Linked DNA regions of Drosophila melanogaster. The protein of the gene in region 3 interacts with the protein of the main gene of each other region in a biochemical or structural test. Each region holds a gene or a part of one and is shown on either strand. Other genes may lie near its edges.

Region 1 (5,922 bases), on a different chromosome or scaffold from region 3:
TGCAAATGATTTTTGGGGTTACACTTTTAAATTTTCCGGAAACGCCTCGAGCAGCATATGCGGTCCTCGGAAAATTCACTTAAAAATCCACTTAAAATTTTGCTGGGTATTGCACTTCACCTTTAAAGGAAGATTAAGCGGATGAAATAGGCTGATGTCACTTTACTCATAAGAGTTTGTATGTAAATAGAATGTTCGCGCCAACTTCACGAGTTTTTTTTTTTAGTGCGCTATCAATCTACCGAATATCATTTTACTGGTCTACCCCTTCTTGGCACCTGAGATATTGTTCCCGTTTTTGTCAGTTGTAGGGGGCCTCTATTTATAACTGAAACGGAAAAATCCATTAGAATATTGCCGCAGACAAAGGACTTTCCCCACAACCCTGCCCCACAAATCGCGGTGGGGGGTTTGTCGGGCGGGAAAGTGCGCAAAGTACCTGTCTGGGTGGGAAGATATAATACCTGGAGAAGTGCCAATCCCAAACGCTTTCCCACATAAACAAGCATTAGGGAACTCCGAGCTTAGCTTATGTGGCTGGCTGGCTAGCTGGAAAACTGAAGAGGACTGTGGGAGCGGGTGGATACGGGCAGTCACGCAAGGGGTCAGTGGGCGTGGCGGGGCCAACGCCCAAAGGTAAACTATTTTTGGGGAGCGAGGCAGTTGGTCATGGGGATAACTACTAACTAAATATTTAGCACGACACGCCTTTATTCTTTTGCACCCCTAATTGATTCAAAAACGAAATTTTATCCGCATTAAAATGGGGAGACACAGCGAATTGGTTTCGGGTACAGGGAAATTAGATCAGAAGGACGTGCGTGGCATTTAATGGCCTTACCAATCAATCAATCCCAATAAACTTACAGCATTCTCTGCCACAAATGAGTCAGCAAATAGCATCATTATCAACGCATGAAGTTCGCCATCGGGTGTTCGTTCAATCAATATGCAAATAAATTTGTTGTCATATCCGACAGCTATCTGTTGATGCTGACAATTATAACAACTGTAAGTACAAACACAAATATTAATAACCCCTAGCCAGAATCAATAAAGAATCTCACACTCATGCGAATATTGGGCGAGAGAGAAATTTGGAAATTAATGGCCAATGGCCTAAGAATACCAATTGTTAGCCGAGATGCGAAAGCACTCATATAATATTATTAACAATAATGAACTTAATTATGAGCACACATGAACATTAAGTAAGTGCTAATTAAGTATCAATTTAGATGCTAAGTTTATGAGATAAATCAGTTTAGTTCTATTAAACTGTTGCCATTAGTTTAGTAAGCGATCTAATATATACAATCTGAAGATAAGCACATCGTTGGCGACATACAAAAGATTTTGTATTAAATAAAAATAATAAAATGAAGTAGATTAATACAAATCGGTCTTGTTTATTTGCTTATCAGTACAGTTGAATTTGAAATGCCAAAGCTAGACCGCCGATCATAATTCAAAATGCAGCACTGGCGTTTGGTCTTAATGAGCACTGGCTGCGGTGGTGGAAAATGTGAACAGCTGATACCACTGGCAGCGCTACGCAACACTCGACAGAATAACGAAAAGAGAGTACAGACGAAAAGCTGGAGAAAATTTGGTTCATATTTTCATACGTGAAACAAGATGTAAAACGAGTGCATTTAGGGCCCAAAATAGTGAAAACTCACACGGGAAACACAATGCTAGCGACGGATAGCAAAAGTAAGTGACGGCTGCACGAAATAAGCCGGAAAAGTGCATGTGAAAATTTTCAAATTCGACCTATCTGCTGGTTTGTTCAAGGGTGGGTGGCGGGCAGAGAGGCCGAGTGAGAGTACGCGAGAGAGGAAGAAAAATCAATAAAATTGTCGTGAGGCGCGATTGACTGGAGCAAAACAAAGTGCGACACGAAAGAGAGCGCTAAGCGGACTACGAAAAAGCAACAACAGAGCGGCCGTTAGCTGAACCAAATGCGTTGGCAGAAAAGAGAGGTCAGATAGTCGGTAGTTTCAAAGGGAGTTGGAGTAAACAAACAAGTGCGCAATAAGTAAACCAAGAACAGCTGTCTCGCACAAAATGTAAATATTTCCCGAATATATGGAATAATAACCACTATCGGTTAATCGCTTGCTCGCTATGTAGGCGTACGAATCGAATCGAGTCGGCGACAGAGGCAACGTTCATTCACTCGCGAAAAGTTAATACTCGCACCGAATACAATGATCGCACTTTTCGTGTGATTCACCTCCAGCGGCCGCTAATTAAGGCGGCGGCAGCAGAAATAGAATAGCTGCGAAAACAAGCCATAACGCCAACTGCACTGTGCGCGGTTGTGATTTGGAAGCCACTCAATTGAAAGTGTCAGTGCTGTGCAAATAAATCGCCAAAATATCTCACCTCCAATGTTCAAAAGATACAATATCTACAATAAGCACAGGTTCTATGGAAACATATGTTTAAATGCGAAGCGACACGTTTTGAACTGAAACCTGCATGAAAGTGGGAAAGTTCATTAAACTACAGCAGTAAAAAGTTTCAAAATACTATGAAATATCTTTTTACACCTTTATCGAATAATATATAATCTTTTTAAACGGCATAACATTGTAAACAAGTGAATCACCATTATTAAAACACATGTAGAAAGTGCCACCCCCTTGCAAAAAAATCAATGACATTCCTCATAGTACAGCCATTAGATTAGTCTTATATTTTGTATTAAGTCAACTTAATTTTCTCTCTTTTAGATTAATCTTACCGCAAATCAACAAACACAAAGATGAATGTAATGCGTAAGCTGCGCGGAGCGGCCAGCGCAGGCAGCGTCAGCGGCAGCAGTAGCGGAACCTCGACGGCGAACAACAGTTCACCAGGGAGCAGCAGAACGGATGCTGGTGCACCGACCGCTGCAAATGGACGGAATGCGGAGGAGGCGCTGATGGACGCCCGCGTCCAAGTGAGCCTCACCACGCTAAAGAAGCTATTCAACGAATACACTCATCCGCGGGAGCCGCTGAGCGAACAGGAGCGCGATGACAAGCTCTACGAGATGCTGCCCCTCTTCTGCAAAGTGAGTGAATCAGTCGGTATGGAGGAATAGGCCACTAACTCCCCATTCTTACAGGTCTTCAGCAGCTGTCCGTCAAACGACATGAGCGAAAAGTTCTGGGACGTGGTCGCCTTCTGCCAGCAAGTGTCCCGTCTCATGGTCAGCGAAATCCGCAAGCGCGCCTCCAACCAGAGCACAGAGGCGGCATCCATTGCCATAGTCAAGTTTCTCGAGGTGGAAACCACCGAGGAAACCAGCAGCGGATGGATGCTTTTGGCTACCCTCAATTTGTTGGCCAATGGAGACGTATCTCTCATACAGGTATGTTTCATTTATAAACTGCTATAGTATCTTATGGTAAAAATACATCGACGTAATCAAAACAAAAAATTTCAATAGCTACAATTTTCGTTAGGGAAAGTCGTCATCAAATTCACGAAGTTTTCTCAGTTCCAGGCTTCAAAGAGAATTCGATGTGTGAGTTCGTAGCTTCTTCATTTGTAATATTTGGGTTGGCTGCATCTGGAACTTGTTGTTCCTTTTCTCCCGCATCGCTTGGCTTATGGACCAATTCAGCATTGCTTAAAGTTCTGAGCCGAGAATAGCTAGAGCCCTGTTCTACCAGCAAAATCTCCGATTTCTCCCTTTTCTCAGTGTCCGCCCACATGGAAGATCGCCGGGCTAGCTTCCGATCCATTTGAATGGGTTTCATTGTGGCCTCGCTGTTCTCACTTGACCGAGTTGAAACAAGGCTAACAGTGCTCCTGTCCTCGATTTTGGCCCACAAGCTCGAGGAATCGCTGGAGCCGCGCCAGGCTGAAGCAGACCTGCGCATCTTATTGGCCTGCTCTTCCATGTACACACTGTACTCCGTGTCCACCGGTGTGATATCCGATTCACTGGTGGTTATTGTTGGCGTTGATAGAAAACTCTCGTCACTCTCGATCTGATGCAGCGAAAAGAACTTTTTACGCGCATCCCCAATGAACTGCCACATGCGGACTATAAAGTGCGGCTGCTCCACCTCCGCGTTCGGCCGGAAGTACAGGATCTGAGAATTGGCCAACTTATAGTAGCACCTGCAGCATTTGCATAGAAAGTCGTCCACTGGCTTGGAAAGCACAAATAGCCCGGTTGAACCAGACTCTGTTCCCTCAAAGTACTTACGGCCAGTCGCCTGACGTTTCCAGTCGCCGGGTTCCATGCGCATCAGCAGGTCGAACACGTGGAACATGTGCATCAGGTACATGGTGCCAGTAACCAGCGCAGCGATGCTCTGCTGCTTGCAGTGCGCAAAGTGCGGATGTTCCAGATACTCGATGGTAGAATTGATGAAGGCCAGGTGAGGGTCCAGCATGGCGGTGCGCATTATCAGCACGCCGCAGAAATAGTGCGACAGCACGGCACTCAGTGTGAGCAGGAGCTGGGAGGAGAGCACCGTACTCCTAGCCAATAGCAGTCGGAACGCGCCTAGAGCGGCGAGCGCCGTAAAGGACGAAAATGTGGCACAATATAGGATCACATGAGGAGTACGCTCTGGCCAGTAGGATGAGCCGCGTATGTGGAAAAACATACAAACACTGCCCAGCAACACCTCGATGAGTTTAAAAAACACCCAAACCTGGTTCATTTCACAGACGTATTCTAGTTTAAAATGGTTTAGATTTAGTTTTGGCAACAGATGAAAAAGGTTCTGCGGGAAAAGTTGTATCTCAAAATACAAAACACCGCCGGGGCTGCGGGCTTAAATTAAGATGTTAAATCTAAACTAACTAAGCAATTCTAATATTGCTGCATTTCAGGTCATGACTGCTGCGGCGGTTCCCTCTACTTTAGTGAAGTGCTTGTACTTGTTCTTCGACCTGCCCATAGTTGAGGACGATGAGCCTTCAGCTGACGGTGGAGCAGTAAGTGAGTTTAATGCCCATGAAAGGCGGACGCTTCTGCAGAAGGTGTTTGTGCAGCTGCTGGTCAAGCTGTGCTCGTATCCGTATCCCGCTGAGGAACTAGCTCGCATGGACGACTTGACGCTGCTATTCTCGGCCATCACATCGCCATGTCCCATCCACAATATTGTATGGCGCAAGAACGCAGCTGAAATCCTGACCACAATATCAAGGAATGGCCTAACCGATGCCGTAGTTAGCTATATACATTGTAAGTATGGTGGACTTAATCATTATGACTAAATATTCTTAAAATGTTTCTTAATTTAGCCAAGGGCTGCATGGCACTTTGCGTGGACAATATGCAGCGCCTGACGTTTGGAAATCCTTTGGAGATCGTTGAAATGTTCGTCACCGTGTTCTGCTTTCTCAAGGACTCCAGTCAGGTATCCCAGATTTTGATGGATGATTTTCGTGCATCTCAAGGTTACGTGTTTCTCAGTGATTTTCTACTCAAGTAAGTACAATAGTTCTTTTTTTAAGCACTTCTTAATATTCATATTAATTTTTAGGTTTGACAACAATCGTAGCCAATCATTGGAGATTCAAGCGGCCATTCGAAATCTGGTACTGATGATCTCTTCGTTGTGCATGTGTGGCTTTTACGAGCTTCGACCGCCAGCCTCGCAGTTTAATACGGCTTTCAAACTGCAGAACTTCCAGCTCCCACAGGCCACCTCACGAGAGACATGCGTGCGAAATGTGTACGCCTTCCAGGTGCTGCAGAACGTGTTCCTTAAGTCAACGACGCCTGCGCTCTGCTGCACAATACTGGACGCCATTTCGCGGGTGTACCACTCGGAAAATGCCAACTACTTTATCCTGGAATCGGAGCAAACGCTTAGTTCGTTCGCAGAGCGGATACACATGAAAAGCCCGCAAATACAAGAAAAATTCTACGATCTGCTGGAGTTCATTGTCTTCCAACTGAAC
Region 2 (6,012 bases), 8.0 Mb from region 3:
GAACCGGGAACGCCGGAAATTCCAGAGCGTCGTCATCGCCAGGCGATTGTGCCGCGCCAGCTGAGCGGCGAGTTTTCGCCCAAGAAGGATAAGCCGAAGGAGAAGGGGCTGGCGGTGATGGCCCTGATCTCGCCGCCATTGCAGCAACCCAGGGTGCGTCCTCCGTTGCGGGAATGCCGTCAGCAGAGGGTCTATAGCGGCGTGCAGGATGTGGGCGAGCCGGAGGTCGTGGACGCAGAAGAGGAGGACGAGGTGTTCCGCCCCACAAACGCCTCCACGTGCAACGACAAAAAGCTGGAGGCGCCCAACTCCGGTCGCCTGTGGTCGCTGATGAGTTCCATGATGCGACTGCCGGCCAGCTTGCGCGGCGAACGCGAAAAGGACAGGGACAGGGACAGGGATTCGGATAAGGAGAACGCTGGTTCGGGCTCACTCATCCGTCGCTGCGCCTCCATCGCTGGATCCCTGGTGCGCCCCAGTGCAAGGGACTCCTCCATGGAGGACCAGCAGTGCCTCAAGAGAAAGCGCACTCAGACGCTGGACAGCCAGTACTGTAGCCCGCTGTCGCCGTCCAGCTCCTCGAAGCGCTACCGCATCCGGCCCAGGGAGCCCATCGAGCGCATGCGTCGCCAGTAGGTTTTAAGCTTTTGCCTGCGAATCTGTGTTTTAATTGTGAAATTCTTCTTTTTTTTTATCGTTTAATAAATGTTTGGTCTTGCATTAACCGTTATGCGCAGCAGGAGTTGGCAGGTCCAGGAGCTTAGCTCGTCTCATTCAGAGCTGCCAACTCTATCTATTGATTCTGTTATTAATTAGTTGCGCACAAGATCGAAAAGCTTAACGGAGCGCCCATGGCGAAATCACAAGCAGGTCAGACTGTCGAGCCGGAGGCGTCCAAGCTGTGGATCCACTGCAACAGCTGCTGCGCCCTGTTCTGCGATAAGAAGCACACCTTCTTCCTGCTCGCCTGCCATCACGTGTTCTGCGAGCGGTGCGTCAAGGTCTCCGCCGGCCGCACGCCCAGCGACGCGCCCATATTCGAATGCTCCACCTGTCGGCGGAGCGTGCGCGGCCGCCAGTTGACCAACTCGATGCCCAACCACTTCAAGCAGCTCTTCCATCCGGAGCCCTTCACCATCGGCAACGACTTTGTGGAGACGTTCCAGCGCGGCAATCATCGGCACTTCGACAAGTACAAGGAGAGGAAGGAACTGGAGATGGATAAGCTGTTCAAGGACATCGAGGTGGCCAAGTCCGTGTGCCAGAAACGCTTCCTGGAGGCGCAGATGCTGCGCGTGGAGCGCAAGAAGCTGATGCAGAGGTCGCGCTACATTAAGGCGGAAGTCGCCAATCGGAAGGCGGAAATGCATCGGTGCGACATTTGGATTCCATTGAAAATAGTTCCCATTAATGCATTATATTTCTACCCGCCTTAGGATGGCCCAGGCCTACCGAAGCCGCTCGCTGACTTCGCAATCCTCGTCATCCGCCCAACGCTCGGCGCGCGGACGTCCTCGTGGCCGTGGAACAGCCACACAGTCCTCCAGTCGACGCCGATCAACGGAATCAGCAAAGCGGCAGCAAATCACCAGCTTCATACACCCGCCGAACAACTCGTTCGATCTGTGAGCTAGTGCTGATAGGTAAAGCTCTGTTTTACAACCGAGTATATATTTTTTGTAAATAATCAGCTTAAAACAATAAAATGGTGTCATAAGCTTTAAAATAATAAACTGCTAAGTTAACAGCGACCGTTAAGTTTCAATTAACAGTTTCGTTAGGATAACAGAAGTGTTGAAAGTGAATTCGATTAATCGAAATCCATCGATGACTGCTGCACCGATAATATCGCATAAGCATCTGCTCTAAAAACGCATAAAAATTGAATTGCAAGAAGTAGAAGAGCGAAACGTCATAAAAGCGGCAAATCCGGCGCTGTCCGACAAGAACCACAGGGGAAAGCGGATAAGGACATCATGATGAATAGCAAGATCGCCGAGGTAGTGGTGCTCAACTGCCGGACGTGCACGCGTGCCTGCAAGCTGCACAAGCCGCTGCAGGAGGAGATCGATCTGGGTTCGGAGGGCAGCACCACGCTGGCCAGCATGCTAAACTACTGCACGGGACTCTCGTTCGAGCCGCAAGACGGCGCCGCCATGCCGCAGCACATCTGCCTCCACTGCCTGCAGCTGCTGGAACAGGCGTTCAACTTCAAGCGCATGGTCATCGATTCGGACGAGCTGCTCCGCCTGGGCCTGGACGAGGCGCGCTGCTCCAGCTTTCACGAGAGTCAGACTCATAGCCCCAACCAGAGCCAGCAGCACGACCAGCAACAGCAGGCGTTCGACTCCACCGAGGAGTACGTCATGATCGAGATGCTCAACGAGGAGCAGGAGAACGTCGCCAATGTAAGTATCTATCACTTCACGGTGCAATGGAATGCAATGGTTCTTGTCCACTCCCATAGAGGATTAACGATTGCTCACAGCGGGCACCAGTCACTCAAATCGATTCACTTATATTGTGGCTCTTTGGGATGTAGTAGGGTAGGTCGGTGCCAAAGGAGTGCAACCTGTACCTCCATACAATGGATAACTTGTCTGCTCTTGGTGACACTACGTCTAAATAGGAGATGGGCTTCATCAAGTCTAACTCCAAAGTAAAACCATAACACCTTCTTCATCCGCAGTTGGATGAAGAACTAGCAGAGGAGGATCGTCGCATCTTCGCGATGACCGTGGATGAGGAGGAGGAGTTTCTCACCGAGGAGGTGGATCAGGATGACGAGCTGTCGGAGGAGGAGCACCAGCTGGCACAGTCGGGCGACCAGCAGGAGGAACACATCACTATGGAGAGCGTGCATGAGTTTCAGCCCGCCGAAGTGGAGTATGTGACCATTAAGAATGAGTTCGAAACGATCGTCACGGAGGAGGATGAGTTCGAGGTGATGAACGACTCCGGCGCCCACGACGCCATACTGGACTGTCAGATGATTGTGATACCCGCCGAGGGAGCCATTGACGAGGTCATCGGCGAGGAGACCCTCGAATTGGAGGGGGATGGGCGCGAGGAGCATCTGGTGAGAAAGGTCAAATTATATTGCACTAGAATACCATTTATCCTCCATTCACCTACACACAGCTGCCGGAGGCGGAGGATGTCTGCGAAGATGAGGACTTCCTGGAGGAGTCGCTGGACTCAGCGCCGCCGACCGCTGGCGAGGCGCTGCCGTACGTGTGCACCGTGTGCCAGAAGGCGTTCCGCCAGCAGTGCCGTCTCAACCAGCACATGCGCTCCCACGTGGACGAGAAGCAATACGAGTGCGAGGAGTGTGGCAAGCGTCTGAAGCACCTACGCAACTACAAGGAACACATGCTGACACACACAAATGTCAAGCCGCACCAGTGCAGCATATGCGGCCGCTTCTATCGTACCACCTCCAGTCTGGCAGTGCACAAGAGAACTCATGCGGAGAAGAAACCCTACAACTGCGATCAGTGCGGCCGCGGATATGCGGCGTTCGATCATCTGCGGCGCCACAAGCTCACGCACACGGGCGAGCGACCATACGCCTGCGATCTGTGCGACAAGGCCTACTACGATTCGTCCTCGCTGCGCCAGCACAAGATAAGCCACACCGGCAAGAAGGCTTTCACCTGCGAGATCTGCGGCGTGGGACTGTCTCAGAAGTCGGGCTACAAGAAGCACATGATGGTCCACAGTGGCGTCAAGGCGCACAAGTGTGATGTTTGCGGGCATGCCTTCACCTTTACCAGCAACCTCAATGCCCATGTTCGCCTCCATTCCGGCGAAAAGCCGTTTAAGTGCGAGGTCTGCGTTAAGGCCTTTCCCACAAAGAAGCGACTGGCCAGTCATATGCGCGTCCACAACAAGGAGTCGCCGGTGACGGCCACCGTTGCTGTTCAGTCCATCAATCCTCCCAGCCGACAAGCGGGCGCAGAAGGTGCGACAGGCGGAGGTGCGACAGGTGGAAGTCCGACCGGTGGAGGTGCGACCGGTGGATCGGCAACCAACCTTCACATAACCGAAGTTCATGAGCAGCCGGTGTCCACCTCCAAAGTGGTGATGGTGCTGTGAGCGGCCACCAAGCCGTGGGAGCGGCTCTAGAATGTAAGCCTAGGCTAAGGATTAGACACTTAGTTCAATAAAACTGATTTTTGTTCCAGAAAAAACTGAAAGAAAATTCGACACTTATTTTTTACATACATAAAAATAATTTTGTTTTCACGATAACTATCTCAGCAGGTTTAGCCACTCTTATCCATCAATTGTGATTAGATAACGCACAGCAAGTTCTCCACTTTCGTAACGAAACACATGGATGTCTTGTTTTTGGTTTTACGGTTAAGTCGTCTCTTTATAATAATAATATTACGATTAAATTGCCAAAAAACAAAAACAAGCAAGTTTAGTTATTCAATAAAACAAAAACATGCGCCTCGTCTTTTCCCAAAGGAGCAAAAGACAGAGCGTGCCTCCCAATCCTGCTGTCTGCTGTCTGCTACTGCTTCCCACTAACTACTCCAAAAGTCGACGAAAAATATGGCCAGTGTGCTGCTGCAGGGCGTGTTTGTTGCTCCGGCGCAGGCGGAAGGTTAAGGTATGCGTATGGAACGGGTTGTGCGGTATGGCCAGCCTCCTAGCGGCCGAGAATGTTGCGCGACCACTGTTTGACCATTGGCTTGGTCTTGGACTGCTCGATGCGTTCCGCCTCCAGCATTTGTTCGGCCAGCTTGCGCTGGTTCTCCCGGAACTGGTTGATGGGATCGTCGAACTGGCGATAGTAGTGGAGCACCTCGCGCACGTCGTCCACGTTGTTCTGCGCAATTACTGTAGCGAATTGCAAGGGTCAGTGTTTAGCTTTCAATGTCACTTGTGGCGCAACTTACTCTTTAGGAAAGCGATAAGGTCCAGCAGTTGGCCATCATCGTCGTTGCCATGCCAGCGGGCCAAGCCGAATGTGTTGTCCGGATGCATCTTGGTGGCATTCGCATCCCAGTCCACAACAATCACCTAAAATACTCCCTTCTTTATAGATGATTGCAATAGAAAATACGTTGTGCATGACTTGCCTTCTTGAGGTCGCGATTAAGGTTGTCCAGGTTCTTCACATGATGGCCGTCCACAAAGTGCGTGGCATCCCTGACCAGGCGGTACATAATGTAGCCGTTGGGATCGAGGGCATCCAGGATGGGGAACACGGTCATGCCCTGTTCGGCGGTGAAGACGACAATTTCAAAGTCCTTGGCGCACTCGGCCAGAAAGTGGTCGACGCCGGGACGCTTCTTGAAGCGCCAGCCAGTTTGGTAAGTCCAGTCCGGATGCACCAGCACGTCCTTCATCTCCAGCACAAGCGTGTAGCGCGGCTGCACGTACGGCGGCTTGAGCGGATCGGGCAGCAGTTTGGCGCGCGACGGCTCCTGGATCATGCGCTGATAGTAGTGAATGCTCTTCCACATCCGCTGCAGATACTGCTGTACCAGCGGCTTGTGTGTGAACTCGTCCTCGATGGGCTGCCCGTTGGGGTCCACCTCGGGCTTGCCGAACTCGTAGACGGCCCAGAATCCAGCAGCCACGGCGCTGCCTCCGAATATTGCAAAGCTGCAGCAGGAAGTATTGTTATAATACTGTTACGCATTGAATGGGCGTCAGCTTACCCCAGCTTCATGCGCTTCCAGGCACGCTCGTTCTCCTTTTCCTCCTCCTCCTCGCGCTTCTTGCGCTCCTGCTCGGCGTTGCTGTCCACCTCCGGCGAGGTCTGAGGAAAGAGCTTGGCCAGCAGCGGGGCATTCGGTGCGACCTCGGGCGCATCATTGGGGCCAGTGGCTCCAGCTTCCTGCTCTGCGAAACGAAAGTGGCCAAGGATGAATGTTTAGGACTCTACTGTTTAGGACTCTACCGTGAATCACTTACTGGTTGTGCTGCTGTAGCCACGCGCTGTGTGCAGGATCGAGAAGAGCGCCGGAGCAGCCGCTGGCAGTGCTGTGCAAG
Region 3 (7,201 bases):
CAATATGCAATGCACAGGTTTTGGAACCACCAAGCATTGGGGCACTGGGAAGGACTAGATAACAAGAGCAGCACGGTCTGCAAAATATAACTAAGCGCGGAGACTAACAGCTAACAGACCACAGGAGTATTTCAAGTACAAAACATTATCGGCCGCAGCGGCGATCAGCTCAGAGCGTCTCCCTGGTGTCAAGCTCAACCAATGGCGGCACTGGCTCCAACTCCGCACTCTGGCTTCTGCTCCTACTTAGGCTGGGACTGGGGTTGCTCCTTGAACTTGGACTGGTGTGGTGGCTTGCGTCTGCACTGATATTACTTGGCTGATTTTGTTCATGGTTGTTATGCGGCGACGAGGTTGCCGGGGTCAGAGGAGCCGGAAGTGCTGGCGTGCCGGGCGGGGAGAGTGCTGGCGGAGTGAGTGGGGCAACGGCCACTTCCCTTGTCTGTGGCGGCCAGTGGATGGACCTTAAAACGCTTTGGCTGCTGCTGGAGGAAGTGGAGGGACTTTCAGCATGGCCTGAAGCCAACGAGGATCCCGAGGTAGAGGCAATATTGTCATCGTCAGTCTTGGCCGTCTTCTTCTCCTTCTCCCTCTTCTCGCGCTCCTTCTCCATGTCGGCTATCTTCTTTAAGTAGTTTTTGTCCTGGGTCGGACATTCGAGGTGGACGCAGTGGAAGATCTAAGAGCAAGGAGAGCATTAGCTTATCGGACATGTTTTGTGGCGCTGCACTGCTACGTACCTCATTCGCTGTGTTGCGTGTGCCCACAATGCGGATATAGACCACTGGACGCGGAGTAAAGTGAAAGTTCTGCCAGGAGCGGGTCCTGTCGTTGCGGCGGTCCACGACCATTTGCCATTCCTTGCGGTTCGTCGAAATTTCGATGTAGAAGCTGTAGGTGCGATCATCGCAGTCCCACAGCAACAGCCTCATTGAGCCCAAATAGTAGGGTTGGCCCAAACGGACGACGATCTCGCCGCTGCCCAATTGGTGGCAAGTATATCCCGAGTCCCAGTCGTAGCGCACATAATCGCCGTTGATAAGCGCGTTGCGGGTGCGACTCACGCCGTCCGTCACAATGGCGCTCATCTCTACGGTGGCCACGTTCGTCTTGGGCGCCACAAAATGGTTAACTAAACGCGGCACCTTGGCCGTGTGCATGGCTTCCAGACCCACAACATGGAATACCTATATATTAATGGAAAGGGAAAAAGTTAAAGAATGGGGAAAGTTTGAAGAGATCACTGCTGACTTACCCGGTTTACAGTGTTCTGGGTGCCCACCAGTCGAATGAATCTGACGGGTCGTGCTTCGAAGTATAAGTATTGCCAGGAGCGGCAGTGGTAGTCGCTGTAGTCGACCACGCGATCCCAATGCTGCTGGTCGCCGGACACCTCAACGTAGTAGGAGTACGCCCGGCTGTCTCTGTCCCAGAGCAGCATGCGAATGTGATTGATCATGCAGAACGTGCCCAATTCGACCACAATGCCCGCATCTTTGCTGTCCGTAATGCAGTGGCGCGTATACCCGTTCTCCATGTCATAGGTGGTCACATCTCCATCCAGCAGCGCGTCGCGACACTCTCCCTGGATGCAGCGCGACAAAAACGTCTCCGCGGCCACGTTTTCCTCCGGCCAGAGCGCCGCCCTGTAGGGCAGCGCCTTTGAAGTGCTGCGCTCGTCGATGGCGTCGAGAATCTTGTCGGGATCCAGGATGCCCGAGGGACGCACCACCTGCAGCAGATGCTCGAGGTTCATCAGTGGCAGGCGGACATAACTAACCACGGACTTGAAGTCCACGTTGCTATTGAAGCGGCTCCACTTCCACACGGCCAAAAAGATCTGCACCTCGGGGGCGAAGAAGCAGTCACGCCGTAGTACCTCCTCCAGCGATTCCTGTAAGCATTACATACTCTTAGTGCCAACTTTACCAATTGGTTGTGAACTTACCTTGGATAGCGTATTGAAGCTGTTGTGCAGCAGCAGGTCGCCGGCATTGCGATCCATGAACATTAGGCAAACCTCGGTGAGTTCCTCTAGATTGTATAGACGCGCCGCATCAAGAATCATGCAGACATTGTCCAAGGCCAGATACTGGCGTAAATAATTCGATATGGCCATCTCCAGATCCTGGAAACCATACTGATTGGCCATGCCCAGCACATCGATGGTGGAATCCTCGTCCAATGTGGACAGCAGCAGTGTGCCCGAGTAAATGTAGCGCAGCAGCACCTTGAACGCTTCCAGCGGCACCTCAAGCGGTATTTGGCGCTGTGTGGTCTCCGCCATGCCGCCGTACAGCAGCGCCCGGAAGTATTCGCTGCGTGCCGCGAGTATGACGCGGTGGGCGGGTATGCGCTCCTCCTCGACGATGAACTCCACGTCCGCGTACTGTTCGTTCATGCAGAGGCGCGCCATGTCCGCTGAGAAGCGATCGCCCAGATCGACCACGTCGGTGTAGTCCTGCTCCATGGCGCCCTTCTTGCCGCCGCCGGACATCTTATGGTGTCCCTGGCTGCTCATCCTTCTCTTTTTTGTTTTTCTTCCGTGCGATGTGTATTTATGTGTGTAAGCAGCCAGAGGGAACAGTTGACAATTAACGTTTCGTCTCGCCTGCTGCGTCAATCCATCGATGACAGTTAGTGATATCGATAATATCGATGGCACAATAGGGATTCTTCTATTGCGGCGAAAAACTGTTATATGTGCAGTGTGACCGTAGGTGTGTATACCATTTAACGCGTACAACAACCATATCGACAGCCGTCTGCTAGCGAGCACATGAACCACATGGTTGCATCCGATAACATTTAGCGAATACATGAACCAAATGGTGTCTGTCTAATATGCCACCACTATTAGCGCGTTTCGGGTTGGTGTCTCTGCGCGCTCACTGGTCACACACGGTCAGTCTAGCCACAGCAGTTAGCGAGTGCAGTCACCACAGTGCGAGTGCTTATCGATAAAACCAGCAAGTCATCGATTTTTAGACCGAAGCGCTCTGTCAACTGCTGCGCACGGTCACTCTACACAAGTATTTCGTACCGTTTGTACGAGAAAACAGAGAAGAGAAAAACACAAGCTCAGCAACGCATCGATATTCGGCACAGTCCCAAAAGCAAACGAAGTGATAGAAGCTGCGTTTCTTAGCCAATTACCTCTTCATTGCAATCATGAAGTTCCAATACAAGGAGGAGCACGCCTTCGAGAAGCGTCGCGCCGAGGGCGACAAGATCCGTCGCAAATATCCAGACCGTGTGCCCGTAAGTACTCAAAAATATATATATAAATGCATATAGGTATAAAGAGACGTGTGTGTGTGTGTATATATGCGTGCGAGTGTGTGTGTATGTGCGAGCTTCTGTGTATGCGTTTGTTTTGCGTCGTTTTTTTTCTCGCTCTTTTTTTTTGTGTTTGCACCGAAGAAAATCAATACTGCGCATATTGGGTATTTCGATTGTTATTACAATATTATTGCACTGGCACATCAGGTGGCTGGGGAAATTTGTGCGATGGGTATTGCATAAAGTGCATTTTGCATTACTGGTGGGGGGAACAGGCGACAAGCTCTCAAAAGAAATTCAAACGAAAATTCTGCCCCCTGCATACACACATACGCACGCATACACGCGCACACAGGCACACAGATGTCGACAGGAAAAAACAAAAGCAAAAAAAGGGAGAGAACAAAGCAGCCGTTTCACTTGCTCAGCTGTTGTGATGTTGTTGTTTTCAGTGCTAGATTTCATCTGTGCCACCTCTTCCTCTCCTCTATCCCACCCTCTGGCTACACAGCAAGAAAATCGCATATATCTATCTGTCATCATAATTTAGTTACAAGCAAAGTTTTGACCACCCCGTTTTTTTTCTGTGTGTGCACCAACCAGTTGTTTTCGATTTTAATTTCGTTTGTTTGTTGGCAAAACGAGCGAGTACTGCGCATAAAAAAAGTCACTAATACTCACTAATACACACTTATACTAGCGCTGCTTGTTTTGTTTTTCGCAAATACACAAAGTGCGACTGGAATTAGTCATAGATGCGCTGCTGAACACAAAACAAAAATAATAAAAAAAATGGAAAACAGAAAGGTTGAAAAAAACAAAAACATCTTCTGCTTCTTCTTTGTTGTTTTTCTGCTATGTATGTATGCATTTCACCACGTTATCAGCGAAAACTCCTTTCACAAAAACCAAAACAAAACCAAACGAAACGAAACGACAAACTGCTGAAGGTGCCCCAATCGCAGCGAAAAGTGCAGTTCTTGTTTTCGATTTTGATTCGGACTGCATATGCATATGTATATATGTACAAATATGTACATATGTGCGCTATATATGCACCCCCGAAATATTATTGCCAGTGTTATTTTAGTGTTTTTTTTTTTTGGCAAGTGCAGCAGTGCCAAATCACAAATCACATAACAGCTGAGCGAGGGGCAAGGCCAGCTGGTCGCTCGGACCACCAGCATATCCATATATATCCGAATTCTATAGAATATACTTAGTACATACATACGTACTAGCACATCTCATACTTGTGCCTTGAGTTCGGCCAATGACGATAACGAATTTCGATAGAACACTAGTGTATAGAGGGGTGGCATTCGCGACAAGCAGTTTTTGCCCATTTCGTATTCACTATGTTGGCACCCGCTTCCTGTTCCAAAAAAAAAAAATTGGACAAACCAGTTTGCCAATAATTTGGCTAAGGCTAACTAATGAGCCCCTGGCTAGAACGGATCGTCTAGTCTAGGCCAGCTAGCAATTATTCCAGAGCCAAGGAAATGCAGTAGATTCGTTACAAAGCTCACTTCAATGACCAACTTGGTCGTCTTGGTGATCAATTTGGCTAAAATGCTGTAAAATGTGTATGTGTTTTTGCATAATGAACAAAAAAAAACAGATGATACAGGTGAACTTGAATGTAAACAGGTGCTAGAAATCTTAATTATATTACAAAACATATACCCCTTGAAAAATGCATTGAATTTGGCTTAAAAATAATATGTGAACAAAAACACACGTGTGTGTAATTACACATTCCAACTTACGAAATTCCAAAATGCATTACGAAATTACTGACTGAAATTACGAAATTACTCATTTTCCTGTCTAAATATAATATGAGTCAGGCCAATAACAATCAGGTATAGTTGTTCGTAAACAAATTAGTTTTCAATTAATATTAAGGTATTTTGTACACTAGATAGCAAGCATCAGAATTCATAAGACTATAGTTTATGTTTTCGGCATTATCATATTCCAAGGTAGCACGTATTCGAGCACACTTGCTTCCAGCAATGCAAATGCCATTTGTAGCCAAATATGTGAGCCTTATTGGGCACGTAATCAGGTGCGAAATGTGCGCACATTAACATGCACAAGTAGCCCGCAACAACAACTCACCTCCTGTATTTCTTCTTCTATTTAAACCCAAAGGTCATCGTCGAGAAGGCTCCCAAGGCGCGCATCGGTGATTTGGACAAGAAGAAGTACCTGGTGCCTTCCGACCTGACCGTCGGTCAGTTCTACTTCCTCATTCGCAAGCGCATCCACCTGCGTCCCGAGGATGCCCTCTTCTTCTTTGTGAACAACGTCATTCCACCAACATCGGCTACCATGGGCTCCCTGTACCAGGTAATTACCACAATGCCCATTATTATTAGCCTTGCAATCGAATCACATACGTTCGATGTATTTTTATAGGAACATCACGAGGAGGACTATTTCCTGTACATTGCCTACTCCGATGAGAATGTTTACGGCATGGCCAAAATTAACTAACTTTGCTCCGGTCGGGATGCATCGGAATGAAGCCCCCCCCCTATACAGAAATCTATATATAAATAAAATATATTTTGTGTTTAGCATGCAAGCTTACAATATGGACGGCGAGTTAGCTAAACGAATTGAGGAAAACCGCAGGAAATGCCACATGAAAAGAACTTGAAATTGATCTGATACGCAGGGCAACAAAAAAAATCCACAAAAACCGAAAACTACAAAAACAATTGTTATGTGAACATTATTTTATATATATACATTTTCCAAACGCGTTAGTATTTCAATTAAACTCTGCTTTGTGTCCTACCCATTAACGAAACAACCAACCAACCAACTTTCCCCACAAAAAACAGATCTATTCACACCCTTTCTGGGCCATTTAATTTCCATTGCTGTAATTGATCCGTGCGAATGCTTTGTACTTTACTTTGTTACTTTGCTAATATTTCAATGAATTCACTATTTTTTTTTTTATTCACGATGCAACAAAATTCTGTGCATATTTAGTGTGTATGGTTACGAATAGGACTCTCTCGGTTAAGTGTACGGTAATTAATCTATTATTAAATAAACAAAAACCACAAAAATACACATGCAAAGGGTGTTTGTTTATTTGGATTGTTCTTCGTTTTCAGTTTGCAATCACGTATATCACGCTTAGATGATTCAGCGATAAGTGACAGGAAGAAGTTATTTTATACTGCTTTTTCTTTTGTTCACCGAACAATGAGTCCTTATCTTTTAAAAATGAAATGAGCTTTAGCAATGAGTGGGTGTTTTTTTTTATTCTTTGCTATTAGTAACAAAAGCATTTATTTATTTTAAATTGAAGGCGTAAAAGGTAGTACTTATGATACCATTCGCAACGCAAAAGTTTAAGTGTGCAAATTAAATTGAAAAGAAATCACTTTGTTTATTGTTTGCTTATCTTATCGCAGCAAAGGCACTTTGCTAGCCATTCAAAATTGCCGCCCACAAACGTTTTTATGGGCAGCACTGTCATCAAAACACAGCTGGTCACACCATCAAGTGCTGCAAAGCAATATCTCAAGTCAGCCATAAGGAGAGCATGTGCTAAAAAGGGACAGCTCCACACAATAAGTACGATTAAATTGCGATATATTTTTGGTAGTTAGTATTTTTGACGCATTTGGCGGACGACTGAGCACGTTTGAATTTCGTGGATTTTTTAGCCAATTTCACCATCTGGCAACACTGTTCGTTGGCCTCGCAGTTTTTCACCGAAAAGGTTTTGTAAAAACACCGTGCCAAACTGTCAGAGAAGCAGGTAAACTAAAGTCCACCTTGTCGGATCGGCCACTGAAAAGCCGGATTAAACAAACAACGGACACGTTACCGAACAGCTCGGAAAGGTGCAGAAAGGAAACATCAGATGAAAATCTATTAGCTGTTGCGA

What was found.
Region 1: the proteins of Atg8a (region 3) and bchs form a complex in vitro, tested with the Drosophila melanogaster proteins (one study listed by BioGRID).
Region 2: the proteins of Atg8a (region 3) and dwg form a complex in vitro, tested with the Drosophila melanogaster proteins (one study listed by BioGRID).

What each region holds. Positions count from the first base shown.
Region 1 is NT_033779.5:5,905,572-5,911,493, forward strand, and holds the start of bchs (blue cheese), read left to right. Parts: upstream 1-1,597; 5' UTR 1,598-1,716; intron 1,717-2,741; 5' UTR 2,742-2,773; coding exon 2,774-3,064; intron 3,065-3,118; coding exon 3,119-3,364; exon of another isoform or gene 3,365-3,476; coding exon of another isoform or gene 3,477-4,673; exon of another isoform or gene 4,674-4,718; intron 4,719-4,845; coding exon 4,846-5,200; intron 5,201-5,259; coding exon 5,260-5,446; intron 5,447-5,501; coding exon 5,502-5,922. Other genes in the region: CG14000 (uncharacterized protein), read right to left, coding at 3,477-4,673.
Region 2 is NC_004354.4:2,725,856-2,731,867, forward strand, and holds dwg (deformed wings), read left to right. Parts: upstream 1-1,842; 5' UTR 1,843-1,976; coding exon 1,977-2,408; intron 2,409-2,689; coding exon 2,690-3,079; intron 3,080-3,141; coding exon 3,142-4,098; 3' UTR 4,099-4,187; downstream 4,188-6,012. Other genes in the region: fs(1)Ya (female sterile (1) young arrest), read left to right, coding at 1-636; vilya, read left to right, coding at 852-1,372, 1,437-1,629; ttm50 (tiny tim 50), read right to left, coding at 4,661-4,851, 4,911-5,034, 5,094-5,622, 5,679-5,862, 5,935-6,012.
Region 3 is NC_004354.4:10,764,041-10,771,241, reverse strand, and holds Atg8a (Autophagy-related 8a), read left to right. Parts: upstream 1-2,903; 5' UTR 2,904-3,171; coding exon 3,172-3,261; intron 3,262-3,935; exon of another isoform or gene 3,936-4,074; coding exon of another isoform or gene 4,075-4,089; intron 4,090-4,585; exon of another isoform or gene 4,586-4,864; coding exon of another isoform or gene 4,865-4,912; intron 4,913-5,439; coding exon 5,440-5,637; intron 5,638-5,706; coding exon 5,707-5,784; 3' UTR 5,785-6,364; downstream 6,365-7,201. Other genes in the region: BTBD9 (BTB (POZ) domain containing 9), read right to left, coding at 170-679, 741-1,187, 1,256-1,894, 1,949-2,521.